Drosophila melanogaster: one gene and its partners. The protein of the gene in region 2 interacts with the protein of the main gene of each other region in a pairwise test. Each region holds a gene or a part of one and is shown on either strand. Other genes may lie near its edges.

What was found.
Region 1: the proteins of Tpc1 (region 2) and CG12560 interact in a two-hybrid assay, tested with the Drosophila melanogaster proteins (one large-scale study listed by BioGRID).
Region 3: the proteins of Tpc1 (region 2) and CG17475 interact in a two-hybrid assay, tested with the Drosophila melanogaster proteins (one large-scale study listed by BioGRID).
Region 4: the proteins of Tpc1 (region 2) and slgA interact in a two-hybrid assay, tested with the Drosophila melanogaster proteins (one large-scale study listed by BioGRID).

The regions. Positions count from the first base shown.
Region 1 is NT_033779.5:8,004,179-8,011,145, forward strand, and holds CG12560 (uncharacterized protein), read right to left. Parts: upstream 5,300-6,967; 5' UTR 5,282-5,299; coding exon 5,078-5,281; intron 5,018-5,077; coding exon 4,770-5,017; intron 4,714-4,769; coding exon 4,540-4,713; intron 4,475-4,539; coding exon 4,264-4,474; 3' UTR 4,143-4,263; downstream 1-4,142. Other genes in the region: Wwox (WW domain containing oxidoreductase), read right to left, coding at 1-10; Spn28Dc (serpin 28Dc), read right to left, coding at 473-1,382, 2,254-2,954; Glyat (glycine N-acyltransferase), read right to left, coding at 5,447-5,672, 5,727-5,900, 5,957-6,201, 6,266-6,457.
Region 2 is NT_033777.3:10,878,860-10,887,415, forward strand, and holds Tpc1 (thiamine pyrophosphate carrier protein 1), read right to left. Parts: upstream 3,330-8,556; 5' UTR 2,704-3,329; intron 2,248-2,703; 5' UTR 2,146-2,247; coding exon 1,147-2,145; 3' UTR 713-1,146; downstream 1-712. Other genes in the region: CG14695 (uncharacterized protein), read right to left, coding at 1-414; CG14696 (uncharacterized protein), read right to left, coding at 3,675-4,033, 4,097-4,628, 4,688-5,055, 5,861-5,975; leash, read left to right, coding at 7,114-7,228.
Region 3 is NT_033777.3:17,128,060-17,135,196, reverse strand, and holds CG17475 (uncharacterized protein), read left to right. Parts: upstream 1-4,770; 5' UTR 4,771-4,813; coding exon 4,814-5,680; 3' UTR 5,681-5,858; downstream 5,859-7,137. Other genes in the region: CG31267 (uncharacterized protein), read right to left, coding at 1-611, 778-977; CG31266 (uncharacterized protein), read right to left, coding at 1,599-1,670, 1,736-2,512; CG4053 (uncharacterized protein), read left to right, coding at 3,041-3,765, 3,829-3,901; CG31265 (uncharacterized protein), read right to left, coding at 6,151-6,951; CG31269 (uncharacterized protein), read right to left, coding at 7,106-7,137.
Region 4 is NC_004354.4:21,371,132-21,379,632, reverse strand, and holds the start of slgA (sluggish A), read right to left. Parts: upstream 5,322-8,501; 5' UTR 4,893-5,321; exon of another isoform or gene 4,812-4,892; intron 4,212-4,811; exon of another isoform or gene 4,140-4,211; intron 3,524-4,139; exon of another isoform or gene 3,514-3,523; 5' UTR 3,429-3,513; coding exon 2,967-3,428; intron 46-2,966; coding exon of another isoform or gene 1-45. Other genes in the region: bbx (bobby sox), read right to left, coding at 7,397-8,501. UniProt on the Drosophila melanogaster protein: Converts proline to delta-1-pyrroline-5-carboxylate. Involved in the conversion of proline to glutamate, which functions as a transmitter at neuromuscular junctions. Glutamate deficiency could possibly account for reduced motor activity.

The DNA of each region.
Region 1 (6,967 bases), on a different chromosome or scaffold from region 2:
GGGCTATCATTTCGAATCAATTTAAACTTATTTAAAGCTTTATTTCTAAAGTATACACTTTTTATTGCGAAAAAGAATACAAAATAATTGAAGATATCGATAACATGCGGCTTAAGCGATAACTGCCGACTAAATGAACAGCTGTTCCGTTAAACGAAACATGTTACCCGCTAATAATCAGCATCTCCGTTTAACAGAGCTTTTAACCGCAACCGGTTGATTGGCGGTTGTTTTTTAAATTTAAATGATTTGTAGAAACTTAGCGCCTTGAACATTTGTGGGCATTGTTTAATCTGCCTGCTGTACGGTACATAGGATAATGTGAAAAGATTCAACAGCAACAAAAACCAATACAAATTTTCATAATTTACGTTTTAATTTATTTTTCATCATTGTGAATGATTTATTAGTTTCCTAACTATAAAGTCAACGAACTTAGGTGCTAAAGCTTAATAACTTATGATCCTAGAAACTAAGCGGCCGCCGGGGGCTCATTTATGAGTCCGTAGAAGAGCACCAGTTTCGTGGGATCGTGGCGCACAAGGACCATGAATGGAGTGTCTCCGCGGAAGAGGACATCGGGACCGGATTTCTTGAGGTATGTGACCGAAGACGCCGCCGCCTCCGTGCCCTGCTCGTTGACGGTGAAGTCCACTTTGTGAACAATGTCATCCACCACCAGATCGGAACGTGCTCCACCCGTTCCGGCTCTGCGCTGTGCCTCCAGATTCTGCAGGCTGTTGCCGCCCAGCGCATTCGTCCTCGTGGCCTCGTTGGTGGCGATGAGCGAGAGATCATTCTGCACCGCGCTAAAGATGCCGCCCAGCCCCATTCGCTGCATGACTGTCTTCAAGTTCACCGACTCCGTAAGATGCATCTTTGGGAATGCCACCAGAGCGGCCCGTCTGTACATTCGGCTGATCATGCTCTCGATCTTATCCGCCGTCAGACGTTTCTGCAGTGCCATTAGCTCCCTCACCGACGACTTAAACGGCTGGATGATGTACATGGTGCTCAGATTTCCCCTGTACGGCAGTCCAATGATCTTGCAGCCCAGCTCGTGATCCTCGTGATACGGATATGCACCACCGGTGGCCATCATCTGCACCCTCATCACCGGCTCCGTTCCCTCGCCATTCGGATAGAAGTTATCCGGACGTGTGGCTGACTCTATAAAGTCCGTTTCCCAGAATGCCTTAAAGTACAATGCGTTGGCCAGAATCATCCTGGTGGTCTGCGGAATATCGCTGGCGATGATGTTCTCGATGTGATTCTTTGTGTGCTGCGCCACATAAGCATTGATATTGTATCGTGCTGTCGCCGGACTGCCCTCGAAATCCTGAATCTGCAGATCCGAGGCGTAGACCTCGACGATCACCCGTCTGGAATTGCACAAAAGTGGAGCTCATGAGTAATAAATCAACAAGGCGCAGCTATTAGTATGCCAACAACGTTGTGCAAAGTGGAGCGATAGTATTGGGGAACTGGGGATGGGTTGGAATTGCAATATCTGGTGAGCTAAATAATAACTTGGGAAAGTAGTTTTTTTCCGCTTTTTTTGCAATGTTTGATCAGCTATAATTGAAGAATAAATAAATAATTAAATGTCTTAGTTATGTTTTTAAGTTAATCCATTCTTATCAGTGCTTTTTATTTGCCAAATTTTTGGCAATTCATTGTACCTACTATTTGACCTAAGGTTTCTAATTAAATATTTGATTAACTGATAATTCCAATTCCAATTCCGATTTAATTTTATTCAAGTTCTCTACATAAAAACAATCGCACTAAAAGTTCTTACTAAATTTGTTTGTCAATGGTTCCCATTTATATTCTAAACTTTATACGTACGTACGTACATATATATTTCTCAATGAAAGCTTGGGCTTTAAAGATTCATAAATATAAGTGGAATTACACGCTCATTTCTACACAGAAAAATATATTCTAATATTTTCTCGTTGTATATTATCTTCGAATATAAAATAAATACTTCCTTTTGGAGCACCACCATCAAGAGACACTAAACGCTTGATGATAATGGGTGAGATCATTTTGCTGGTACAATGAACCTGTTTCCCTCACTTGGCATTCAGAAAAGGAGATCACTTTAGCCCGCATGGCCTTCAGTTTTTCACGGTGTAAAACCTCAAGGCGATCGCTAATCGTTTGGCATTTCCCAGCACCCATTCCCAACCAGATATCGCTATAGTTCCAGTTTGCAGCCGGATAATTATCCGCTGCTCGGCTCACCTGTAGTCGGGATTGAGTGTGTAGCCGGTCTGTGTGAACAGTCCATTGGCCAGGTGCACCTCATGAGCACCGGGTCGCTGGGCCCGTCGATTGGATCTCATCGCGCTGCTCGCCCGCCAATCGGTCAGCGGTCGTCCTGCGGAGATCGCCTCCCTGGTGGGCTGTTGCAGATCCTGCAGCATCAGGCCGAACTGTTCGTGCAGCCTGGACGTGTCCGGAATATCGAAGACCGTGGACAACTCCTCGTAACTGCGACCCTTGGCGCCCAGGAGCAGCAGAGCCAGCGAGTGTACAATGCTCAGGGGAGAGTATATCTGGGTTTTACCGTTGGCCAAATGCTGGCCCAGAATGTTGGCAAAGTTCAGCACACTGTTCGCAATCCGATCAGAGGTGGCCAGATCCACATAGCCGTTGGAGTAGGCAGCCGGAAGGTTGGAAGGTTTCACCGAAGTGCCGGATATGCGATTCAACGCAGGGTCATTCTGGTTGCCAAGGCCGTTCACAAGGCCGGGCGATTGAAGGGGCACCGCAGGCGGTATCGCCTGAATGTGCTGCTGCGCCTCCTGTTGCATCTGATGCCGCCGCTGCATCAGTCCATTGATGTAGGCCATCGTTTCCGGGGTCCTCAGGTCATCACGAAATAGTTCCGATTCACAGCACACCGAACTCACGAGCAAAAGTGCCAAAAGCAAGCGCCACATTTTGTAATTTTCTTTTTGTTAATCTCGAACGCAACACACAGAACGAACTTTATATATATATATATATATATATATATTTTTTTTTTTTTTTTTAGAGGCAAACGCGATGTGGCTGTGCGAGTTGTTAAAGCCAGACTGAATGATTGGCGCTGAGCGCGCATCTTTATAAAACTGGAATCGGAAACTTGTTATCAAGCAAAAACGCTCCTTCAAGTCCCCGATCTCTCGCGCTCTGCATCCCCAGCTGCTCTCGGATCTTGGCGAGCTTGGATCTGGGAGAGGTTTCGTCGACGAGTCACTGGTTATACCCCGGCTTTGTTTACATGGCTGACCCGTGTCTGCACTTGTTATTGATCTTCATCGATCGGTACTTTCTCACGTACTCATGTACTGCCCCCCGCCCATTCATATCAGCATTCTGCGAACTTTGTTGCGGAAATCCATGGCAGCCCTCTCCCATCCATTTGTATCTATGCATGTATGTACGTACGTATGTATCTCAAACCCGTGACGTGCATACTGATATTCTCTCGCAACCGGTGAGTAAATAGTTTAAATATTTATTAGCTATATACTATAGTCATTATGTTTGGTGCGTATTCTCGGTCTCGTCATTGGAAAGTTCGCGGCACATTGACACGGTGATGGAGTCGTGGTGGGATTTCCCAGCGCTAGGATAAGATTTGTGCTCATCTGTTGGGCCATCAGAACTAAACAAATATGAGATGGGTTTTATTGGTAATAGATAATGCCGTCGTACAAGCCCGTCGTAAATTATATTTAAGCGTTACTTGCTTTATGAGTTATTTTAGATTCGATGACTCATTTTTGCTTCTGTAATGCCAGTTACCAAAAATAGTTAATGGTAGTTGTGTAAGTTTTTTATCTATCATGTAAGTTATTAACTCTAAGTTAGTTAGTTTCAGCTTCAGTTTATGGTAAACTGATCATAATAAAAACCATCGACCATTAAAGTAAATATTATCCGGAAATTTAACTTGACAATTTAAGCACAAGTTTCATTATAAAAAATATTAAAAATGAAACGTGCAAAGGAAGCGTAAATAACTTCCTTTGAAATCATTAACATTTCAAGATTATATCATTTTATATTCACCAATTTTATCCAATATATTATATTAAATTTACATTACAATCCATCTCAATTTAATTCAAGCTCAAATTCATGGGTGCTCAGCTATAATTGAATGAGCTGATTCACTCTTCTTTATTATTAAAAAACCAATCATTTCCTACACTATATTTATTTTAATAATATTTATGTTAGTTTTTGGCTTCTTCTCAGTTGCTAGGCAGCCCAGTATGTATTGTCTATAGCACGGAAACCCAGTTTCTCGAACATGCTCCTCGAGGGGGTGTTCTTCGTTACTACTGGCGCCAAAACTTGATCTCCCGCTGCGGAAATCTTCTTAGCCATCGACTTCACCAGCAAGCTGCCGAGACCAAGGCGTTTATGTGACTCCAGAACCTGCAGCAGACCCAGGGATCCAATCGGCAATCTAAACAGGAAAGTTAATTAATTAATAAGTTTTTATATACATTTATATACAGTTCGATGGCTTACCGCAGACACCAGGCAACCAACTTTCCCTTGTCGTCATAAGCACCCAAATTAATATTATATTTAATTAAACTTCTCACAAAGTCTATAGAGCCGGGTTTATTATGTGGCCAGTTTTCATTGATGATTTCGGCATCTTCGATGGTCAAGTGCTGTAGACTTAAGCCCGGAGGAACCCTAAATTGAAATTATTCGTTTCATTGAGAGTTATAGAGTATAAAGTACAAACTCACTGAATGTTAAATGTATCTACGAGTTCTTTGCTGGCCGCGTACCAAACGGTATCCACAGTGTGCAGCTTCTTGTTGGCATAATATTTGTTGCCAATATACTCCACCACAGGTTTCAATCGCGTAGAAAACCCAAAGAAATCGTATTCATTCTCAATGGACTTGAGGCATTCTAACGCTTTCGTCACTCGATCCAAATTTTCGCTCAGTGTGTTGAAGTAAATGTGGTTCATATGAGTATCCGAACGTAGCTGAGATGATTAGACAACATTCAATCACCGAACTTTTGCATTTCACATCGCATAACTTACCGTTAGAACAAAGGTTCCATCGCTCTGCCAGTCGCCATTCAACGATAGGAAATTGACCTTCAATTGCGGGTCTATCTCCACCCACTTAATGAAATTATTTATGCACGGATAGCCTTGGGGATCCGTATCTCTGGCCACATACAAATCTCGCAGTTTAGTCCATTCGCCGCGTGGAATTTCAACCAACGAATTCTCCGTCGACATGACGACAACCTTTCGCAACAAAAGCTGAACGCAGACTAAACTTGAAACAAAAAAAAAAAAAAACAAAATGAGATAAGAGAAAAGCTGTGCACTACAAAGAGAGCAAACAAGTAAATCGAAACTCATAATAAAAGTAGACGTTTGTAATCTGTATTTATTCTTTATTTATAAAGTGCACGGTATCACTGCCCAGTAGAGTTTGTTGATATTGTTGAATCCTAGTTTCTCGAACATTTTTTGCGAACCCTCGTTTTCGGGAACAACTGTGGCCAGAACTTCTGAGCCCTTTAACTTGATTTCATTAGCCATAAAGCGCACTGCCAAAGAACCCAATCCCATTCGACGATGTGAGGATAAAACGTGTAGGTTACTCAAACTACCATGAGGAGATCTAGAAAATACAGATTGTTTCAGGAATATTATCAAACCCATCTTCTTTTCTTACCTTAGACACCACGCTAGGGGTTCTCCTTGGTTATCAAAAACACCAACAGCGAGATTGTTCTCCATAAAACCCCTTATCATAGTTATAGAATCAGCTGAACGATAAGCCCAATGTTTGTCGACCAATTCGGCATGATTTGATGTGATATAAGCCACTTTGCAAGAGGTACTCAAACTAAAGGGTTAGAAATTTGTAACAAGATTTTACTGAATATTATTATTTTACTTTACCTTGGTTTCCAACTGGGAATTTCGGTGCTTGGCAGGTGGTAAACAATAGCGCCCTGGTGTTCAAGATTAATCAAATCTTGACCCAAATTCAGCCAATATGCCTCAACTAATGGTTTGAATCGTTCTTCATAGCCACAGATTAAATGAAACACTTTAAGTTTTAGAGAGTTCAACAATTTGCCAAGATCTTCTGGGGTTCCCTTAATGGTATTCATATAAATATAGGCCTTGTTCTCCAAATAATGCTGAAATGCAGATCTAAAGTTATATTTCACATACCTAGTGTATGTGAACTATATATGTGCTTACAATTAGTATATAACTGCCATGTGTTCTCCAATCCGTATCAGTTGTATATATCTTTATGGATTCGGTTGTGGATAAGGGTATGTAATTTAAAAAGTACTCGATTAAGTCGAATCCCGTGAGATTAGTTCTATCATTCGCGTACAAATCTCTGAGCTCTGGCCACTGAGATTTTTCTATCAGTATAGGTTCCATTTCCAATTACAATTGTTGCTGAGGCAGAGAAAAATGATACTGATGTTTTTCTTTTCACAGACACAACAATTATTTACTGAGTTCTTTTTGTATATTTATGACAATCTCTTTCTCTTGCGTTCTCTTAGTATACCCATTGACGTCACAAAATATCTTGTGCTCTTTTGTAGACACCTTCTCATTTAAAAAATTTTCGATATGTTTTATACTCATTTCTGCGTTCTGATTGACTGATCGCCAACTGTAGAAATTTCTTTAAGCGGTTATCGATTTTTAAAAGTTTTAATAAAAAATATTTGCTTATCATTTTTATGTATTTGATTATATATTGGGGACAAACCCTCTATTAGAAATGCATGTAAATTTCGTATAACCTTGTCAAGGTCACAATGAAGGAACATATGAAGTGCTTATTTCTCAAAGTGTATCTTCCCAGGAAATAACCATTACGCAAAACACTAAATCTAAAGTCTGTGTTGACAGAACTGACAAAGATTTAAACCCAACCAC
Region 2 (8,556 bases):
ATCCGCCAGCAACTGGTCGCAAAACTCCCTCAGGTATTTGGCGTTGACCAGCTTGTGCATATCGTACACTCGGCCCTCACAGTCCTTGCCATAGATTCGCGGTGGCAATCCCTTCCGGTAGCTGCCAAAGTCGTCGGGATTTAGGTTCGGATTGAACTCCCCGATGTTGGAGATGTCACGCAATCCGAACAATATACGACCGGCGTACTCCTGTGCCAACTCATCGAGCAGACTTATCCACTTGTCCAACGTGTCTCCGTGCCGGTTCTTAACAAAGTGAAACGCCACCACCTTTGGCCCATCAAATGTGAACCTCCCACCCGGCGATTTCCTATCCACTTCCGTTAATGGCGGTAGCCACAGAATCCATGGAATGGAGTTATTGTCGATGGTGTACGTCTTCACAAGAGCCATTTTCTCTCCGGACGGGAAATCGCTGAAGTAACTGTATTGTTGTTCCCAAAGATACATTTCCTTTTATACACTGCATGCATCACCGTTTAAATTTCACAACCAAAAAAGCTCACAGCAGCGAGCTTTTCTTAACATTGATTATGTTTGGAGTTTAACAGCTGCAACTCAATAACATGTTCATAAAACTAATTATTCCAATTGGAAGAAACATTTAAGCTTAAAGATTATGAGAAAAATATGAAGAATTAAATCTTAGGAGGCAGGGACAATACTCATTAAAAATAAAAGTTATTAAACTGTTGTGATGTAGTCAAATTTATTAAATTCCCTGAATACTTAGGTGTAATAATATTAATTAAATATCAAATGAACTGCCAGCGCAGTCGTTTCGTTTGCGAATCAAACAAAAGATAAATAAAAATTTGAATGTGTCTGTGAATAGAGGTGCTCTGCCGAATAATGAACTACAACCTAGCACATACAATCTATAACTTAACTGGTGCGCCAACTATTCGTGTGTGTACTAAAGCGCTGACCAAGTCAATTGGTCTATGATAAACAGAACCCCCAGAAAAGATACGCACAACCGAAAACTAATCAACAGAGTTAGCCTAAGTCTTAATATTATTTACGCGCTGCGGTAAATATATATAAAAATAGAAAATACAGTGTAGATTCCGTTTGGGCGCACAATTGCTTTCAGACGCCATTAACCCCGACTCCAAGTCCGACCTAGAAGCGCACCTGCTTGAGCTTATCGTAAATGCTGAAGTACAGGGCCGTCGTCATGCTTGACTTAAGGAGTGTGGGGGCCACGCCCTTGTACAAGCCCCTAACGCCCTCTTGGCGCACGGTCAGCCGCAAACAGTCCCAGACTCCGTGGCACTGCAGTGTCTGTCCGAAGGTCTGGCGATTCGACTCGAAGCCCTGGATTTGCAGTCGCTTTTTGATCAAATCGAAGGGATACACGATCGTCTTGGATAGCATGCCCGAGGAGGCGCCCAATCCCAGCAGCGTCCACGTGGGCAATTGGCTGCGATCGCTCACCTCCAAGAAGGCACACGCCCAGTCGCTGAACAGGCGGTAAGCCATAAAGTTGGTGCCCATCAGCGGCGTTATTTGCAGCAGGGCGGAGGACAGACCGCGGTACATGCCGCGAGGTCCCTCCTGGCGGACAATCGCCGACACAGCCCTTGTTGCATTCCTGTATCCCTTGCTGGTGTCCTGGGCAATCAGACGAGTGCGGATGACGTCCAGCGGCGTGGATATGATCACTGCTGCTCCTCCGGCCGCAGCGCCGCACAGGAAGTTCGATAGATGCTGATGATCCGCCAGATAGCTGGTCTGTTTGGCCATCAGGCTGAGCTGCTCGTACGTCCAGAACTGACAAATGCCGTACATTATGCTCAGCACTTGGGCAGGATTGTGTCCCTTCCAGAAGGCCAACATTCCCTCCTCGCGGTATATGGTTTTCACCGCCTGTCCGATGGATGTGTATTTGGAGGTAAGGGCTCCTGGTCCCTCCTTGGCGGCGTTCTTGCCCAGCGGCTCCACCTGCAGCTGGAAGCGGATCTTTAGCACGTCCAGCGGCTGGCAGGTGGAGCGCGTAATGGCCGCCGAAAGTCCACCGGCCAGCATTTGATGCAGCTGCTCCCGCGTACTGTGCTTGCGTCGCGGAACGGGAGTTGTGGTTGTGGTCGCCTCACTGGTGGAGCCTGTGGTTACCGCCATGTCTGCGTCGGAGCTACCTTTGGTTTTGCTTTTCGTGTGCGTATGTTTGCTCGTGCGGATTTCACTTTTATTGCTGCGACTGCCAACTTTTCAATGGCATTTCTGAAAATAAAGAAACGCAGACAGGTGGAGACGTTATTACAGTCGGAACTATGTAGATGCAACTATTAACTCGGACTTAGCAACTTCTATGAGGCTGGATCTAATAGGTATAGCTTATATATTATCATAAAGAATTTGTTTTGAAGGTTACTTGTAATTTACTTGACTCTTGTGAAATTCAAGGTAGATGCTGTTAAAAAGAAAGCTTAAGATTGTTTCTTGATAAAAATGAAATATGCTAGGTTTTACTGGTATCAAAGATGGAGTTTTCGAAAATCCGACTTAGCAAAGCTTGCCTGTAGCTTTCATTCAAAACGTTTTAGAGGTGCGGCAGGGCGCAAACTTCGACTTGTTTACACACATTCATCAAAGTCGATGGACAAATTGTTGTGTACAAGTGCGTAGACAGGAATTGGGAAATAGTAGGAGTGGAATTCATCTGAGGATGAGACTTACAAGTATCATGCTCCACGGAGCGTGCGTATGTCTCTGCGATTACTTCACTATTATCTCGGTCGGTTATGGCCAATTGCCCGCCAATTCGCAGAGCTCCCAAGTTGACTCCAGGTTCAAACGGCCGTTCATTGATTGACAATAGCTCGGTTGGTATTCGGGTTTATCAGCGATTTCACTTTTTTCCGCTTTTGTTGTTCGATGTCTCGGCGACCGTTGTCCAGTTCCCAAAATTCCGATGCTGCTGCTCAGATAAAGAGACAAAGGCATTGGCAACACGCTCGATGGTGATGATGATGATGTTGCTGAATGTCCAGAGCAGCGCACTACAATCTGAGCTCACCTGGAGCAGATGCGTCCGTTCGCGGGCAGAGTGCAGCAGTGACTGCGGCGCCGACGCTTCTTCATTACAGGCGGCGGCCCGTGGATTGCGTCAAAACTTTCTTTTCGCCAGACTTGTAATAGCGCCGCCGTTGAGATGCCGTTGCAGTTGTGTCAATCCCCTGCTGCCGCTGTCCAAGTTGGCCGCTTCCCACTTCCACAAACTGGTTTTCCGAATTCAAGACGCGCTGCTTCAAACCTCTACGCAACAACAACAAAACAAACTAAATTACGTCGCCAAGTGCACGGAATCAGCTGTTCGAGCCGCTGGCGATGAGCTTTTAGCGAACAGCGATGGCAACTATCGGCTATCGTGGTTGACAACAATAGTAAGAAAATAGCTAGAAGCTAAAATTCAGTTTTAGGGTTTTCTTAATTGGGAACATAAATATTTTTTAATAGTAAGCATAATTCCTGAAACCAGATCACTATGTTTATACTCGAGTTAATAAAAGGCCATTTAGGATTAAAATGATACTAACTATCGATATTAATATAGCTGTCACATGCACAGCGTTGCCACTTATGCGGGCTTTCTTGTATATTTAAAAATGCCTTAAGGTGTAGAATACAAAATGGTTAAGTTATGGTCCCTATTTCCACCCAATGCCGCCAGTGGAAGAGGCGGCTGGAGCACTAGGCGTGGGTTTATAGTCTGGTGGTATACTGAATCCAAGCACCTCAAAATTACCGCCTGGCGGAGAAGCAACAGGTGTGTTGGTCGTATATGGTGGCGATTTTTGTGCGGCTGGCGACACAGGATTTGGTGTGAATTTCACAGGCGTAGCAGGATGCGCCTCCTCTGCCTTGGGATAAAGACTGGGAAAATTAGCTGCCCCGTTTGAGCCATTGGTTCCAGGCTTCCCATCAAATGGATAGACGGGATATCTTGGCTTAAAGGTGTTGGACTCGAATTGCTCATCGCTGACGTCCTCCTGAAAGTTGGGTGAGCCTAAGCCGGAGAAACGTCGATTAATAACACTTTCGATTATGCTTTCTTTAGTGCAAAACCCACCTGGATGAGAGGCACCACTGGGCTGGGACTTCTCCGCCCCGGGCCCCTTGTCATCAGCACTTCCCAGCAGCGGCACTGTGCCAATGGTTATTGGAAAGTCCATGACCAAGTCGCCACCACCGTGCAGCTTGAAGGTCTTGGCGATGAATCGCAATGTGTAGCTAACTCGAATGGGATCCTTTTCGCTTTGCGTGGATGGAGTAGTTGGCGGCACCGTGAGGAACTCATCGAACTTGGCCTTGTTGTGCTTCAGCACCTCACCGCAGTGCTTGTCCGCCACCCGAGATTCGGTTACCTTCAACTGCTCCTTTGCGCCCGATGAGTTGGCTCTATATGAGACGTTCTTGATCAGACGCACCTTCACGTCCATACATTGGACATCCGACTGGTTGTCCAACACCAGATGGAAATGAATCTTCTGGCCGGGGACGTAGGCAGAATAAGAGGTGCTCACGTCCATGATCATCGGCTTGTGGGCACCGAAAATGGAGCCCCACCAGAAGCTCTTCGACTCCAAGCGTTGGAGGGGTTCCTAAGGGAAGTGCGCTTCATAAGGTTATTCAGTTTGGAAGAACAACCAAGACTACATACCTTATACTCGAGCCGCCTATTAAGATCATGTGGCAGGATCACCGTGAAGCACTGCTTAAATGTGTTGTTGTAGCGAACCGCGCGATCGATGGTTAGGGTAACCTCGTGCTTAATCTGACCATGAGCACCATTGAATGAGGTGGGTGCATTGGGCGGAATGGTAGCCCGGAAGGGAAAGACGTACTTGCCGGTGGGCAACTCCAGCTGCGAGCCACCGGCCTGGCCGTAAACCGGCTGGTCAGTGCTGTAGTAGACCTCGGTGGTGGTGTGGGTCACCAGGGACTTGGTCGTCTTCCCATCCTCTCCCACTCGCTCCTCGCTTTCCTGCCAACGCGTCTCGCCGTATCCATTTATGGTTATAAAGATCGCTGCAATTGGATTAATTTGTCTGTACTGCCGGGTATGTAATTCAATTATGCATTTAGTTTAATTGCCATTGACCTTGGACCTTTTGTGTGTTTCGGATGTAGAATTGTATTGGAAAATTGCTCAGCTACAAACAACTGTCTTTGTTAATGAACTAACAATAATTTAATCAGAAGCATAAAAAAAACGAATGCTACCTAATAAAGTTCACCATCAAATTAAAGCGCTGCTAAGGCTCGACTATTTGATACCCTAGGAAATATTTGATTATTTGAATTTGAACCGATGGCTAGGGTCCACTTAGCTTGCTAATGGGATTTGTATAAATTTATATATATATGTATATCTGCATGAATTACGCCTAATTGACCCAAAATGCTACCTATACACTACAATTTAAAGGTATTGGCACGAACGGGCTGACCAGTAACTGAATCAAATATCTAATAATACAAACAGCGTACGCAATTTCAAAACAAAACTAGTTTTTACGCCGCTATCAGATATCCGCCAGCCAGCCAAGCGGCCACATGTGTGTTGTATATAAACTTTATGTATACATACATATATGTACATTTGTATATACAATACACATCTTTCAAGCATATCTACCGGCAACAATAACATTAAACCAGCGGATAACAAAGCACCAACAATATTAAGTGGATATTTATTTATTAGTGGATGGTAAAACGGTATGGGATTCAGAATTTGAATGGTGATGGAGGGGGATGACGTCATGGTTTCGAGTCCATTAGAATACATATGTATGTAGTGCGTCTTCTTCCGCATGTCGGTGTCACTTACATCGAATCGTCTTGGGGCGCTCCGTAATCAGTTCCGCCGTGCCGGAGATAAGCTGACCGGCTTGATAGAGCCCCAAAGGATTGCTGTCGAAGACGAAGTTCACCTTGCTGCTCATCCTGTCCAGAATTGGCTCCTTGGCGACGGTGTCGGGTGGTATCGCGCTATCAAGTTCCTTTGTTTGTTTTATTGATAGTTGGTGGAAGAGGTAGGGATTCGATGTATTCGAGGGTTCCGGCGACTCAGCTCGCAAGCTCCGAACGCGAGCAGCTCTGGCTTAATACTGAATTCTCAAAAGTCTTTGGTGAGACCGAAGAACCGAGAAGCAAACTTTTGTGCGCGAGAGGTTACAAGAAGAAGAAGCGAAGGACAGAACGGGGAAGCACACGAAATACTATATGGAGCATTATGCTGCTAAGCCAACTAAAGTTTAATCTTAATAAAATATGTATGTATGCTTCAATCATCGCTGACATCTAAGCTGAGCGTTTTGTTATCTATACAGTAAAATATTTGGTAATTATTATTCGTAGTGAAATATATCAACTTAAATTATTGGCGATATTCAAACAGAGAGTTTCTTCTTCTCTTTTCAAACATCAAACCATAAAAAAAGACCATTACTACCAAGCATTTCTGAACTCTTGCATTACAACTGAAAACAGTGCATTTAAGAAACGCTGTTTAGAACTTAAACTTTAAATTAGACACATTTGAAAATACCGATTAAAAAGTCTGCGAATTAACCGCTTCAGCTGGCCAGGCGCCCGGTGGCAGCACCGCGCAACAGCTGTTCGTGCTATCGGACCGCCGCTCTCACGGTTATCGAAAGAGAGCTGCAGCTACAACAAAAAAGCGTAACTCACGGATCTCGTAAATTTATAAGAAATTTAATTATTCAACCCGCCAGCGGACGACAGCAATCGAATTAAATTAGCCCGGGGTGTGCGACCAACACTTGTGGGCCATTGCGAATTGATGGATATCGAGATTCCCCAAGAACTGGCCACAATCAGCGCGAAAAAGCTCCCACTCACCGCGCGGTGTGTGTAGTAACATCAAATCGTAAATCGTGAGGCGAGTGCGTGTGGTGGTGCTACTATTCTGCATATACTTTAGGGTGGTGCGGGCCGTGGTGCTGCAGTGCATCCATGTACGTTTGTATGTGGCGGCATTTTGATGACGAAATTATTTTTGGATAAGTGCGTGAGGAAAGTGGCCAAACCGGAGGAGTCATCACCATCAACGCCAGCGGAATGGAAAGCGAGCGGCTGCGAATCACGCTGGACAGCGCGGATCGGGTTTACTTTGCGGGCGACATAATTCGCGGCGAGATCTGGATGAACGTCAACAAGCGCACCAAAATACGCGGTAAGTGCCAGTCGAGCATAACTTGCCGCTTCCTGGAATGCACATCTCAAAGCTCGGCTTGCATCATCCATGACTCAGCTGTAGACACGCAGAGAAAGTGTTTCAAAACCCTACATTTAACGTTAGGCTCTTAGTTTATGATTCTGGGTATTGTTTACATGTGTACATATAGATCGTATTACCGAAAAGATTTAGCTTAGATATAGTAATCTAATATTAACAAAGATGGTTTTCTGCACAACCCATCATGTACTCCACAAATAGAAATGTGCTTTTTTCTGTTTTGTCAGCGGTTTGCAATCCATTGTCCGCCCGATGGTCAGCTGGACTTTCGTTGCGGCCCCATTCGCATAAACAAAGAACTCCATCAGTTAACAAAGCACAGCGGCCATTTTATGGGGCTTCCTCCCCCTCCGCTTCACCGCAATTTCGAGATTCTTGCTCGCAAATTCCTCTAATTGCCTTCGGCGCTCGCCTTTCATTCATCGATAAGCTTTCAATTGCCGCCCGTTGCAATTGCAATTGAATTTCTTTTCGTTCTTCACGATTCTTGAGTACTGGCATTTGTTTCAGGAAATGCCAACCCAAACGCATCGCGCGAGAGGGGAGTGTAGACGGTGGGGGCATGTGCGAAGAGAGGCACACTCAGTTGGCGTGCCGAAAAAGCCGTAATATTGGGCCAAGCGCAAGTCGGGTCTAAATGAGAGAGAGGTGAGAGGGCGCTCGCAGCACAGTGGTGGCCACAAAGGGGTTTATATAGGTTTTTTTTTTTAATTATCCAGAAATAAGATTCCCAGTAATGGTATATTCCGAAGTATAGTGTTTAAAAGGCAAACAGCTATCTCCATTTTATTATGAAGTATACCTTTAAAACAATAAGTGGTTTATTGAATTTTTTATAAATGACTTAAAGAATTTTAAATCTGACATAATTGGGCGCCCTTGACTGTACAAGCGCCTCTCTGTTGTGATTTGCCACTATACAGGTGTGCGTGAGAACAGCAGCTGGTCCGTGCATGTGTGAGTAAGAGAGCGCGAGACTAAACGGGAGCGCCACACTATCCCATATTTTTTAGAAATTAATGCGCTACGCGATAAAATGAAGGGCATTTGGGTGTCATGAGGTGAAGCTAAAAGTGTTGGCTTCACGCATGGGGCCAAGGGTTTGTGGACATTGCCTAAAAATAGATCGACGGCTGTCCGTTAACTGCCCAAAAGTCAAAGTCGGCTGTTATCAGCGCATATATATATATATTTATATATATAAAAAACGCGATTTATTATCAGAGCACAGAATACGAGTACAAAAATATGTTTATACAAAAAAG
Region 3 (7,137 bases), 6.2 Mb from region 2:
CGTTAATCGTTGATATAATCCAGCTGTAGTAAAAGCTAATGCGGGCAAAAACATCGGGAAATCCATAGCCGCACGGAACGCCCCAGTTACCAACGCCCACCAAGCGACCACGACTGTCAACGATGGGTCCTCCGGTATCTCCATGACATGCTCCGGCTCCCACCTTTCCCACGGCACAAAGGTGACCCACATCCAGATCTGGAGTACCGCCGTACGTGGCATTGCACTTTTCCGGCGCGACATAGGTTACATCCAACTGCTGCAGCTGCCATGAGAAATCTCCTCCGATCTCCGTGCTGCCGTATCCGTACATGGTTAGCGTTTCACCATCGGTCAAATCCTCCAACGGAGCGATTGTGATATTCTGAGTGACATCATCGTAATCGAATAGTGCATGCGTCTTGATCAGGGCAATGTCATTATGGTACATGGGGCTGTCGAAGTTGCAGTGCATGACGATATCCTCCACGGAGTATATCCAGCCCTCCGATCCCCAGTGATTATAGGTGGTGGTCACCACCTGCACGTTGTTCTTTCGCAATCCAGCCAGGCAACTAGCCGCGGTGATGACCCACTGATCGTGGATAATGGAGCCGGCACAAAAGTGGTTACTTAAAAGAGTTGCATAATTCACTATTTAGACTTCAAAATAAAATGTTACTTAAGACACTAAAAAAATATATTGCTTAAAAAAATAGTATAATTTCTGTGGTAATACGTTAGTAATTGTTACCAATAGGGAAACTAGGATAACATAAATAAGGATAAGTTAATTACCCATAGGCGTTTTGGAGCGAGACTAGATAGGGTGCCGCCAGGACATCGGATTCTTCTCCTCCGACGATTCGGGAGCTAAATTTATTCGCGGTTTCGGATTTTTCTGAAGTGAAGGCCCGACGGCGTAAACTTGCCTCCGAAAAGGATAACGCCAACAGGACGAGGACGAGTGTAGAAACCGCTCCGGTTTGGTAAGACATCTTGGACGAACAGCTGAAGTTGGACTAATTGCAAAGCAGTGCAGCTAAAAAGAAACTAAGCTCCAATAAACGATATTCAGTATACGATATTAGATATTTGGCGTGATATTAATGAGCCGCCATAAAGGTATTGCAATCTCAATCATGGTCAGCCTGAACAAAACCCACAAATTCTCCCCTCGTAAAAATCCCATATCTTTTTATAAATCAGCAAATCAACACAAATCATGTTGCCAGTACATACACTTGGGTAAAAAATGAAAAATGTTCAGTTACATAAGGTAACAAATTGTTAGATAAGGTTATTTTAATTAAAATCTATGATAAAGGCTATATATGCTTAATTCAGAACGTTAACCAAAAAAAATATTTTTTTAAACACCAACCCTGAAACAAATAATTTTAAGCAAGTAGAACTGAGCTTAAATATCCCATACTTAAAAATACTTTGCCCAGAAATAACTGAGATTCGAAAACGTATTAGTGATAAGAAAAAATATACATTCTTTAATGATTAAATCATATTTAATAGTGCTTTTAAAATATATTTGTCATATTTAAAATCTCTGGCCGCATGATGAGCCGCATTTCTCTCAGTGCACAGATACGAGGTACCCATGACTAGGCGATCGTACATCCATTCATGGTGGTGCGGATCCAATCGTGGTAGAAGGCAGTACGCGCATACACATCCTAGTGGATAATAATAGGTGGCAATAAATACATATATTACTCTTCGATATAGGCGGAATACTTACCGGATAGCCACGTCCGCATGGCACACCCCAATTACCGATGCCTACCAAGCGCTGCTGCTCATCGATAAGCGGTCCGCCAGTGTCGCCATGGCAGGCGCCCTGGCCCGCGTCCATTTGGACACACACATGACCCAGGTCCACATCATCTTGGTTCTGCAACTTCTCCCGGCATGCGTCCACCGGCAGATATGTGCCGGATGCCTCCTGCAGATAGCGACCATAGGTGCCCATGGCCTCGGAGCTGCCCCAACCGGCAAAGGTCAACTTATCCCCCTCTTCCAATTCATCGATATCCGCCAAGGTTATATTCTTTGTCACATCGTTGAACTCGATTTTGGACGACAACTGCAGCAGGGCTATGTCATTGTGATACAGCGGCTTGTCGAAGTTGCAGTGCACATGGATCTGGCTCACAGTGTAGTACGGAGCATACAGATCCCACCAGTCCACAGTTCCAGTCACAACCAGCAGATTTAATGGCCTCAATCCCGCCACGCAACTGGCCGCTGTGAGCACCCAAGTTTCGTCGAGTATGATGGCTCCGCACAAGTGATACGAGTATGCATTTTGGATACTTGCTATCCAGGGCCAGTTGCCCTCGGCGGCGGTGGTGCCACCGATCACACGACCTTGGGGCACAGCTTCGGTGGAGCGATGCCTCTCGATATTGGCCAAACCCGGAAGTGGTTCTCCTCGCATCCTCATGGCTTCCGTTGGCCCCTGAAGAGCCAGCAGAGTCAGACCCAGCAGCACCGTAAGATTCCACCTATTTGTCATGGTTGGTATATGCGCGGTACAATCGAAACTAAAACCCCTCAGCCGGGCCACCTTAAAATTACACTTCATAGGACGGATCTTATCGCCCAGTTTGGTCGAATTTTGGATAATAGGCAGTTTATGGGTCTGGACACGGCGATAAGTGGCATATGCGGCATTGCGGCCGTGGTCATTATGAGCTGACTCGCTAGTTCGACCGGTGCATTTATAGAGTGCCGAGATTTGCCGTGTCACACAAGTCCATGGGTTTATGAGCAACCAGGTCCAATTGGACGTTCCGCCTTTACCGATTGGGTTTTATCCTTGCAGCCGTAAAGATACCTGACTGCGAATGGCCATAAAGATTGCTGGCCAGTGGTCAGTTGGCCGCGAAAAAACCCAAGTGAGCCAACTCCCGATGTGCGATAAAATAGGTTTATATGGAATGCATATAAAAACGCTCAGTTGGGTCATACAATTTTCCATTGCTGGTCATTAATTCGCGCTGTCCGGCATTGTCCCTCGTCTCGGAAATATTTGTTTTGGATGATGGCTGTCCGTTTGTCTCTGATTTGGCTGCTTCTGCTGGGCACTTCCATTGACGTCACGCGCGGAAAGCGTTTGGACAATCGTAAACTTTTGGACAATCGCATTGTGGGTGGCCAGGAGGCGGAGGACGGAGTGGCACCTTATCAGGTGTCCATTCAGACCATCTGGAAAACCCACATCTGCAGCGGAGTCATTCTCAACGAACAGTGGATCCTCACCGCGGGTCATTGTGCACTGGACTTTAGCATCGAGGATCTAAGGATTATAGTGGGCACGAATGATCGTCTGGAGCCAGGACAGACCTTATTTCCGGACGAGGCCCTAGTCCATTGCTTGTACGACATACCCTATGTCTACAATAATGACATAGCGTTGATCCATGTCAACGAGTCGATTATATTCAATGATCGCACCCAGATCGTTGAGTTGAGCCGAGAGCAACCTCCGGCGGGTTCCACGGTCACTCTGACGGGATGGGGTGCTCCGGAAAGTAGCTATCCCACAGTGCAATATCTGCAGACCCTCAACCTGACCATCATCGCACACGAGGAGTGCAGAGAGAGATGGGACTTTCACGATGGCATCGACATCGGTCATATTTGCACCTTTACGCGAGAGGGCGAGGGTGCCTGCTCCGGAGACTCCGGTGGTCCACTGATGTGGGAGGGCAAACTGGTGGGCCTGGTCAACTGGGGCAGAGCCTGCGGCGTCGGCATGCCAGACATGTAAGATGGTGTATATCCACTCCCCTTTAAAGGTGGGAATTAATCAATTGTCAATCCTTTTAGGTATGCCAACACGGTTTACTATCAGGATTGGATCCGCAGGACTCATTCAGGATGCAAGAATCGTGTTAACTAAAAGAGATACAAGGAGAGAGCGATTAACTGGCATCATTATGATGTATTTTTGTATAAATATGTGAAATAAATGTATTGACTAAAGCAACGCTGATAACTTTTACCCTTACTCATGTGGTCATTGCCTGCTTTTAGATGGGCAATCACAATTTTATGGAACTGTTTGCTAACATGTTATGGCATAAGATAATGTCATGCTAGGGCTGAAAAATTGTTTGTTATATGTGAAATTATTTGGCCTAATCTAATGTAATAAATAGTGATAATTACTTTTAATGAATTCAAATGGATCATCTCGTAAACTAAGAATACTGTTGTTGTTCAATTCGTTGCATTTCCGTTATCAAAATGTATAGTCCAGATTATAGATCGGCTTTTATTTAGACTTTTAGGTATGCATTAAAAAAAATTAGTAAATTTTGAAGATGGTAAAGAGAAATTTCCTGATTGCAAACAACCGCTGGCGGCATCTCCAAAAATGAGATGATTTTAAAAGATTCAAGATTTTTTGAAACCTTATTAAAAATATATTCAATTAGAATATGATATTGGAAAATACGACTTGCTTGATCAAATCAATATATCATTTAGATATTTGACGTGGATGGTAATAGATGCAACCCTCGGTTTTACAAAGTCCAGTGGTAATATCCAGCAAGTGACCATTCTAGATATTATTCTTATCCAATGACGGCGCTGACATTGATTGCCCTGTCACAAAATGATAATCAGTGTGCGTCTATATCTTTTTACGATATCAGGCTTTATGACATAGATACTTGGGGCGGAAACATTGATTTCGATTTACGATAAAACCCCAAGACTTACGATAAAACGTTCGAGTATAAAAGAAAAATCACTGCCCATATGCAGGCTTAATTGTCGCATTGAAAGTCAAGCACCCACCACCATTATGGTTCGACTGGGTGTTGTGCAGATCCTGGTGATCCTGCTAGCTTGTACTTGCTATAAGCCCATTAGCGCCGTGCGTTTGGCGCAGCTTAGTGAGGATCAGCTGGAGTGGATCTCGAAGGCGGAAGGAGTCAACTTCCAGAATCGCGTAATCAATGGCGAAGATGTGCAGTTGGGCGAGGCCAAGTACCAGATATCGTTGCAGGGAATGTACGGAGGTCACATATGTGGCGGATGCATCATCGACGAACGCCATGTCCTGACGGCAGCCCACTGCGTATATGGCTATAACCCCACCTATCTGCGAGTGATCACAGGAACTGTGGAGTACGAAAAGCCGGATGCCGTGTATTTCGTGGAGGAGCATTGGATTCACTGCAACTACAACAGTCCCGACTACCACAATGATATTGCCTTGATTCGGCTAAACGATACGATCAAGTTCAATGAGTACACTCAACCGGCTGAGCTGCCCACAGCTCCGGTGGCAAATGGGACGCAGTTGCTCCTCACGGGCTGGGGCTCAACGGAACTTTGGGGCGATACGCCCGATATACTGCAAAAGGCTTATCTCACGCATGTCGTGTACTCGACTTGCCAGGAGATAATGAACAACGATCCGTCGAACGGTCCATGTCATATCTGCACACTGACGACTGGTGGACAAGGAGCCTGCCATGGCGATTCCGGCGGTCCGCTGACGCACAACGGAGTACTCTACGGTCTGGTCAATTGGGGTTATCCCTGTGCACTTGGAGTTCCCGATAGTCACGCCAACGTGTACTATTATCTGGAATGGATCAGAAGCATGATCTCGGGACCATGTAGCAACTGTCACTGCTATGCCAGTAACTATCCCAGCCTGTGATCCAAGGGGACGACGATATGCTGAGCAAGATATACAATTTTGATTAGGTAAGAATGTACGGTGACTAACTTGTGGAAATAAAATCAATGGCAGATTAACAATAAGAAAATCGTGTTAGTATTCCTTCTCAGATAGTCAGGCAATATAGATTTCTATATCTACTTTTGAGTGTTTACCCATATTTTATGGTTTATTATTAATTTCTATTTCATAACTATAATTTCATATATGTAAGTAAATTTGACCTTTAATTTATGAGTCTATATTTTCTTGTTAATTGTGTTTTCAAATTAAGCCTGGATAAGCGAAGGCGTTCAAAAAAAAAGTGGAGTTATTTTTAGATATGGTTTTTTTAATTCCACTTGATAATAAACCACATTTCAAAAGGCCACTTTTATAATAGTCTTAATTTTTCTTTATTTTCCTCTGAAATCTTTCTAACAATTTACTAATTCAATTTGGTAAGTAAATTAGTAGTAGCATTTGTTGTTGCCACTGAGCTTGCTGCGAATCCAGTCGAGGTAGTAGTACACATTGGCCTGCACATCGGGCAGTCCGACACCGCATGGTCGTCCCCAATTGACCACACCCACCAATTGGCCATTGCTCACCAGCGGACCACCGGAATCGCCGTGACAGGCGCCCTCACCCTCGCGCGAAAAGGTGCAGATGTGACCCACACCCATGCTGCTGGTTCGGTTGAAGGTCTCATAGCACTCATCCAGAGGAACAAGGCCCACGGTCAGCTTGTGCAGGTCCTCCATGGAACTCCCGTAGGCCACATCGGAGCCCCAGCCCGTGAGGACGATCTCTTCGCCGAGTTGAACCGGTCTAGTTGGCAAAGCGATCGGCTGTGTCAGCTCATTGAAGGTGATGTTCTCGGTAAGCTTCACCAGGGCGATGTCGTTATGCATGTAAGGCTGGTCGTACATACAGTGTTTGTGGATCTCGGCGGTGTAGTAGATCGCTCCGGGCTCTGCCCACTTATTGGTGCCCGTGATCACATTGACCAGGGCGGGAATGAAATTTTCCACGCAGTGTCCAGCAGTTATGATCCAGTTTTCGTTTAGGATGGCACCACCGCAATTATGGGAGCCCACTATGGGTTGCAGGGACACCTGGTATGGAGCAAATCCGATCTCAGCCTCCTCGCCACCCTTTATCCTGCCAGATTGACCCGCAGGAAAGGGGCCAACTATGCGCTTTGATTCACAGGGATTTGGGGGCTTCACCGCTAGGAGAATTAAAAGGCTTAGACGGAGCAGCTTCATCTCGAAGGTTTGACCAAGTACTGAACACTAAACGTTAACTTCTTCGCTATCAAAACTTTATTAACTGGCCCCTGCTTATCGAGGCAATTTTATCGTTGCCTTATAAATTAGTATTTTTTATGGTGCACTATGATAGTCACAGTAAACGGAACCTTTAGGATTGGTTGGAGCTGAACCCAGTGCACT
Region 4 (8,501 bases), on a different chromosome or scaffold from region 2:
TGTAAATAACCGTTGACCCAATACGTTCTTTGACCATTTCATAAGCTGCGAAATTTTCGTTTGTTTTGATCGGTTTTATGCGGCATACATAGTAAGTTTGTAAGTTTTTGTAAGTAGGTTTTTTTGGTGTTTTTCGATATTTTGTCATGTTGTTTGCGGCGTCAAAAATTGAATTCGATATAGTTTTAATTTTCCGTTTTAGGCAATACAAAGTTGATATATGTAACAAGGACAAAGAGTTTTTGCAATATACAACTAATATCCATCGATTCTAGCTGAGATCCCTCATCCGCCCAGGTTCTTTCAATTTTTCAGCGCCTGAATCGCACATAAATCATTTGGAACTTGGCCAAGTGGTAAAATAAAAAACGTGAACGGAGTCAAGGCCAAAATCTTTGCCAAAGTCCAACAAAACAGCGTGGAAAAATGCGACAAAAAGTGCGGAGGCGGCAATGTGTATTACTCTTCAGAGGCTGCACGTCATTTAAACGAGTGTCAGGCTAAATACGCATATAAACATCACCTTTCCAAAATGAGCCTAGTGCTCAAGGAAAGACGATCCGCCGCGGAACCATCAACTTAAACAGATATCCGCTGAACATATGTACATATATAAGTGATGCGAATATTGAAATTTTAGTGTAAGAAAAACAAACAAACACTTCCTGAAAAGCCGAAAAATAACGCAAGAGATTGTACAGACTCTTATCCAAACCTATTAATGCAAGATTTATGCGACTAGAGACAATACTATCCCTTCGGAAATATTAATTTATTTAAATAAACTCGCAATGCACTATCCAGCTTTGTGAAAACGAGAAAATGTTAAACTGCACTTAATAAAACTCGGCAATAAGGACAGGAAGAGATCGCCTAACTTGGGAATCACCAAGTTTCCGGTTTCCGGGCAACCCATGTTCCTTACAAGGTGGAAAACACAAGAGCATTGGCCTCTGATTAATGATTCCCTTGCACGTGTGCGCTTTGCTTGATGCGGGATCCATCAGATGAATGAGATTCTGAGAAAGGACAGGTGGGGAAAGAAAAGAGCATTCTCCGTCTGGGGAAACCGGTTTCGTCGAGAACACTAAAGTAATTAATTGAATACAAAGTTGTCGAAAGAGCACACTGCCGACAATATAAATACACCATCACCAAAACTGGTTACATAAAACAAATTTTCGTTTCGCATTATATTTTTTTTGGGTATGGCATGTTTTGCTTTGCTAGTCTTTTAACTTTTCTTTGGCAGACAATTCGAAACCGAGGACAGGTGTTTGCCGTTGAGCTCTGGCCCCAAAAAACAAAAAAAACAAAAAAAGCTGCCCCAGCAGAGCCAACACCACCCCCGGTCACCTAGCACCTGGCACCTGCCACAGTACCCCATCCTCAACCATGTTTTTTACCCATCAATACCCAACCCATTCTCACATATCACGAGACCCACACCGCTCCTCAGTCCCCAAAAGCAATCGACGCGCTACTGTAAATAGAAATGGCGAAAAAATAAGTACACTCTGATACAAATTCAAACGAATATGAGACCCCAATTGTGTTATTGAACTGTGTGCAACAGTTCTTGAGAATGTTCTCACTATATTTAGTACCAAAAGTATAACTAATTGAATGCTAGAACGCTCAAAATCGATTGTGCAAACGATGTTTTCAAATAGATTGCGCCGAGTCTGGTAAAGGAATGGCTTACCAATTTTTTTCTAGTGCAGAGATGTGGGCAAAGTCGATGTCTGACTAATGCCACATGTGATGTGATGTCTACGGTCCCAGGGAGCTGTGCGGACATTCTCTGTGACGTCCATTTAGCCACCCATATATGCAAATTGCATCGAGCGGGGCGAAAAAATGATAAATAAGTAACAGTCTTGGCGACGCATGCACTTTGAGTAATCGATAAGCAATCAAACGATCGCCGACGCTATTAAATAGAAGCACGCTAGCGAGAATGGGGTAAATGCGAGGGGTTTTCCAACGATTCCGATTGGCGCTCATTCGGGGGCCTGACTATATAACGACCTATATATACTATGCAGTCCTACACAGTTCACACAATCCATACGTCTCGCTGAGTAAATACGCACGAGTTAAGAGCAAATAGCGGACCGGGCAAGGTCGCCATCGCAGCGGCAATTTGCATGCCAAAGTTTCCCTTTTTCCTGCCGTCAATCAGGCACTCATTCAATCTTCTGTGCGACTGCAGCACCTGCCAGAAAGTGGCAACAAATGCAACAAGCAATTAGCCAGGAATTCATCAACACGAGGGGAGCAAACGAAAACTCGCTGCGGGTCGGGTGAATTGAAAAGCGGAAGCAGGGCGGAAAATCGGAAGGAAAGCAGCCAGCCACCTGACACGGGCTTCGGTTGCCCGGAAAATCGGAATCAAGCGAATGGAAGCTTGGCAGGATCGAAAAAATTCATGAATAAGACAAAAAAATTCATGAATAGAAAAAAGGAAGCAAACAAAAAAATTAAATATTCTTCTACGTTCAGTTTCAGACAACTTTAACATTATACATACATGGAATTCAATAGCCCTAGCTGTTCATAACTTTTGTTTACTCTTCAAGTGTCCAAGAATCCATGTACATGAATATATTTAAATAAAGCATTTTAAAGGAAGTATTTATAAAATAAATGAATGAATTATAATAAGTTGAAAGCAGCAGAAGAGGACAGAAGAGGCGAAGAGTCAGCACACACTTCGAGAGTTGAAACAAATGGTTTCGAAATCGGTCACTATCTAAAACGATACTTACTTAATTGTAATATTAAGAAAGCATTAAGCAGGGGTTATGTACTAACAGAGCCCCAGATTTCTCAGCAAACAGAACCAGAAACAGAGAGCTAGAGAGAGAGAGAGAGATCTCAGCTAGTCGATGGATTGGACCAATTCAAGGGTCAAAGGTCGCAGGACTCGGCAGAGGAGGAGTGGGGGACACCGATTAACTCACCGTCATGTTGTGCTCGACCAGCTTCTCGCTGGAACATATCATGTAGACGAGATAGGCGCGTATTAGCTCTCCAGTGGTCTTGCTCTTGAAAGCAGCAATCGGATCATTAAAGCTCACGTCCAGGGGATCCCTCTGCGGCGAGCCAGCGGGCGAGGGGTTCTTTTCCTGGGACGACTCCTGCTTCATCGATCGCTTCACCGTCTCGCTGGAGACCACCTCCGGTTGGACCAGAGTGGAGGCCTGCAGCGGCCGGTCGCCGCTGTGCAGGAAGCGCGCTCCATTGACTCCTCTCGTGGACTCCGATGCTGCTCCTTCTCCGGCGATGCTGGTGCTCCCGCTGCCGCGCTGATGGAAACTCCGGCAGGCGGCGACGGCCACGGAATTGCTCGACTTGCTGCTATTACGGCCGTAGACCAAACTGATGGCTGTTCGTTGGGCGCTCAGCGAACGGAGTAGAGCCATTACAAGGGATTCTGCGGTTTATTTACGCTTTCTGCTCTTCGGCTTTTGAGACGGTTATTGAAACGCACTCCAATCTCGGTTGTTGCTGCAAAAAGAAAACAATGGAAAGCAGAGGTAATTTCACTATTATCTCTACAAATCACTACGAATCTGAGGGAAGACAGTGGCGTAACGAAGAGATTACTAAAGGTGGTTATCTCGTTTTCAACTCGATTACAATAACGTTTTAAAAAGTGGAAATGTGGTACATATATAACAAAATTATTACGACTGTTTCAAAATATGCATTGATTTTCAATAAGATCATATAGAATTGATTTAATTGTAATTGGATGATATCTAATTAATATAAAAATAATAAACAAATGTATAATAAAATTCAATTTATAAAAATATTAAAATCAGTGTACATATTATTATTGCAACTTTTTGCCTAATTGTGTTTTTTGCCCCCCCACAAACCCCACGCCAACGCCAATGATCACAGCTGATTTTGTCGGAGAGCTTTTCGCTCTCCCTCTTTCGCTCGCTCCGAATGTTATACAACAAATGCGAAAAACGTGAGGCGGCGAGGGAGAGCGAAGCCGAAAAAAACAGCACAACACAATCACACGTACGCAAGTACACCTTCGAAATGTTCAATTAAAAAAGTCAATTTCTGGGCAGAAATCTATCTTTCGCTATTATGTGTCTTTTGGGTTTTCTTCTTACTTCGTTCTTATTATTTATTCTATTACGCTTTGAGCGTTGTATACGCCGCAAAAGCACGAAACCAAATGCGACGAAGACGCGTGAAAATGGGGCGAGTTGTTAAGCGACGGCAAATTCAACGAAGCGAAACGAGGAAGGACCCGAGGGCGAGAAAATCCTTTTCGCCGCTTCGCTCCCGTTTATGTAACTGTAAATGTAACCGAGATTGTACCGTAATTGTAACTACGACTGTGTGACGTCACAGGCATGCCAGCCCCGTTTGCTTCTGATTTTGATTTTGATTTGGAATTTGTTTTGATTTAATTGAAATGCGCCGAAAGCACACACTAATTGGTGTTAATTGCGGCTCTCCTTGATTCTCCCCAATTTTCGTTCTCAGTTTTCCACCCATTAACCCCTTTTCCCTTTTTCATTTTATTTATTAATTAGCAGCCCGCTAAATAATCGCCAGACGGGAGGCTGCAATCAATCGAAAAAACTTGGCGGGTTTCATTGCACAGATTTCATTACACTTCATTATGGGCTATATCAAGTTCTGTCTCGCTCTGGCCGCCTTGGTTAAAGGGAAACAGGGAGCTGCCGTACTTAAATTGCGAATTCATCTGAATGGTTTTTTTTTTTTTGTTTTTTTTTCTTCATTTTTCTTATTTGTTGCTATGCGGCGAATTGTACCTATTATATAACACTGCTTACTGCTCTCTACCTCGCTTTGTAGAGATCCTTTTATGATACGAATACAACGCAGCCACTCACATGTACACTGCAAAATTTCGCTTGGGTTTGTGGGTTTCCTCTATTTGCTCGATATAAATTTTGCTTTAACGGTTGTTTTGTCACTTCAAAAAAAACAAACTACGATACATAACCAGCAACGACCCAAAAACAATAATAAGGGTAAACAATACAATTTTGTAGAATTTGTAGAATTGCCAAATATAGTTTTTCGGAAAAACTCGTGTTTGTTTGACAAACTTCTCACAGCAGCCTGCGAGAAAAGTAGAAAAGTTCCCGTTTCTGTCAGCGCATTTGCTCACCTCACAAAAGACACACAAGTACAAGTACAATTATAATTATTTTTCGGTTTTTTCGAGTCAATGTTGTTCTTTTCGAGGGTTTTTGGTTTTTGCTGCTGCAACAGAGAGCGTGAGCACGCGCAAGGGTCTGAATTCGCGAATAAACTGAAACACATGAAGCGAAATTAAGGCCAACACGGCGAAAGCTCGTCCAAAAAAGCTTGAGAGAAATTGTTGGACCAGTCGGTGAGGGGCAGAAAGGGGATGGGCCACCCCCAGCAGCTGTTTGGGCTGCACGTGAGCGAAAAAAAGAAACCCGATCGAAAATTAATCGCCATCTTGTCAACTCTTATTACCCAATAAAAATCGGCACGCTTATCTAGGCCCCTGGCGGTTGGCCGGGAATCTTCGGTGCTCTTATCTTATCAATGGACTCCCACACCAGCGTCCAACAAAAACGAACCATTCCTTCTATTCATCTCTCTCCCTGTCTCTTTCTTGACAACCGGCGTCTTGCAACACTGGCCTCGCAAACAGGCTTGCTTTACACCCAGATCACTGGAGAAATATATCGATACGAAATATACGCTCGCAAAATTTGAAATTTAGTTTCAGGTACGAAAATTATTCAAAATGTTTCTCTGTGTAAAGAACGCTTATCGTGGACTCAAGAAAGTATCAAACAGATTTATTTTAATTGCACTATTTACGCAAATATAAGGCCACCAAATGAATATAAGTTTTCTAAATCTTTCTAATCGGACCCTCCCAAGCCAAATATTTCCTTTTGCTGTGTGCCGAAAGAAGGGATTTTAGAAAAGTTTGAATTATTGTTAGTTACAAAATTGAGTATCCGAACTATTTGTTACTTTCAGCTCGCAATATAAATATAATATAAATATCGATAGTTATCGCCGTCTCACAAATCTACACACCAGCGATCTCTAAAAATGTCCTTTGGGTTTGTTTTAAGCGATTTTTTCGGTTACAAATTTCAAACATATTACTTCGTATAAAATCTTTTAAACTGATTAAAATTAAAAACAAAGCGATTCGGCTTGTGACACTAACAAAAAAAAACCTTTTACGTCTCAATTTACTTTACTTTAAAATTGTTTATAGAAAAAAGGTAAGAAAGTTAAGAAACATTTATGGCATCAAAGAAATCATGTTAACGTAAAAAAAAACTACAAGAACTATATGCACTCCATATTTTTTAATATACACAATGTATGCGTACATAGATACCAAATTGTTCCCGTATACTGATTACTTACTGGCGTTTCATAGATAAATATTGCAAAATTGGCTCTTCAAAATGAAAATTCCAAGTTTCCATTTTAAAATGAATATATTTTTGTTTGCAAATTGTTTGCGTTTCGACAAATATAGCAATAAGTTACGACTACATATTAGAAATAATAATAATTAACATTTAATGAGCGACCGCTGCTGTTGATTTTGCTGCTTAGCGAACGCGGCCCGAAAAAGGAGAAACTTAACAAGAAAAAAACAGAACAAGTTATTTAAATACCAAATATATACATAGATATATGCGTGTGAAACTGACTCGGGTCTCCTCCTACCGCCGTCATAACAAACAATACATAATTCGCTATCGCCGCGACTCTCTTCTCGCATTCTCTTCGGCTGGCTTGATTTTCTGTTATTACATAATATTATTGACTAAATTGTAGATCAACGAATGTCTGTTTTTCCATCTCCATTGGGCACCACCAGCAAATAGCTTTAAGCATCGTAAGTATCGAAAATGGGTGCTTAACTTGACCGCAAGACTATCATAAGGGCGACAAATTCAGTTTAAGGTTTTCGATTGATGCGACAATGTTAAAACAATTGAATATTAATGCACAGTTGTGCGGATATGAACTGAATATTTTGGATATGTGTGCAACATAGCCCGAAAAACATGTAAAACCTATCTATATATGTATGTAAATAAAATATAAAGTATTATTCCTCAGCTCTGACGTAATGAATGATGATATGAATAACTGCTAAGGACATGCTCTTTTGCTTTCCTAAAAACTATATAATAAGGTAAACAGGGAATAGTTTAAATATCTAAACATAATTTCAAATTATTGCAACAGGATATACATATGTGAATATGTCTTCCCCAAGTATGACAATCTTGCAGTTCGCTATTTTGATTTGGGCTAACTATTTGGTGGTAATGCTGGACAGCCAGTGGTGCTGCTGATGTTATTGGTGTTGCAGGCGCTAGTTGGACTTGGTCAGCTCAGTGCGGTTGGCGGCCACTTCGGCCAGAATGAGTAGATCTGAGGTAGAGGAGGTCACGTCGAAGGCCGCCTGCGAGGAGAGCGAGGAGGATGACGACGAGGAGTTCGAAGAGAGCGGTGGCGAGGCCGACGACGAGGTTACAGGGGCATTCACCGCCTTGGGAGCACCGCTCTGGTTAAAGTAGTAGCTGCCATTGATGGTCAGGGGCAGAATTGAGGCCACCTCCTGTTCAATGGCACTAACATCGCGCCGGGTGATACTTTCCTTGCGCGCCTTTCGTCGCTGGCTTCCCACAGCCTGCAGTTGCTGCTGCTTGATCCTCACGTGTTGCTCGCTAGATAATGGGACAGCACCTTTCGCCGCAGCATCTGCTGCTGCCACATTCGAAGTTGCTGATGCACCACTTGTGCTGTTCGAATTCCTCTGTTTCTTGGTGCCGCTAAACTTCTTCTTCTTTTTGGTGCTACGTTTGCGCTGCAGGTAAGCGTCCAAGCTGAGGGCTGGCAGCTCTTTGATTTTCTCCTCGAGATCAAAGAAACCACTGCTGCTTGACTCGGAAACGCTTCTTATATGTTTTTGCATGGAATCCGGACTGCTACCCTGACGTTCCGGTGGCGAAACGGGCGGTGTATTGGGTCCCGCATCCAAGGGGATGTCCACAAAGTTTCCACCCATGTTACCTGCCGGCGGCAAGCGAGCTTTGCTCTTCTTAGCTATGGCCGCCAATTGACCGGAATTGACCAATTCCTGGTAAATCTTGCCCTTGCAGGAGCGTGATGACTTGACCTTCTTGTTTGGCGAGCTACCACTGGCCGCCTCCTCCTCGCTGGAGTTGCTCGAGTTGTTGTCCTGCAAGGAGCGCTTATTGCCATTCCCATTTGTATTGCCAGCTGGCATATGGGCAGATAGAAACTGGCTGGTCTCGCTGAGCACCTGCTGTAGGGCGAAGTCCTTTTCTTGTACTTGAACTTGCAGTAGGGAGCTTAGCTCGCCCATCTGCGTTTCGTCTGCCAGTTTAAAGTAGTTGGGGCGCAGCATAGCACGCGGCATCTCCCCTCGCTCTGCCCACTGCACTTGCAGTGAA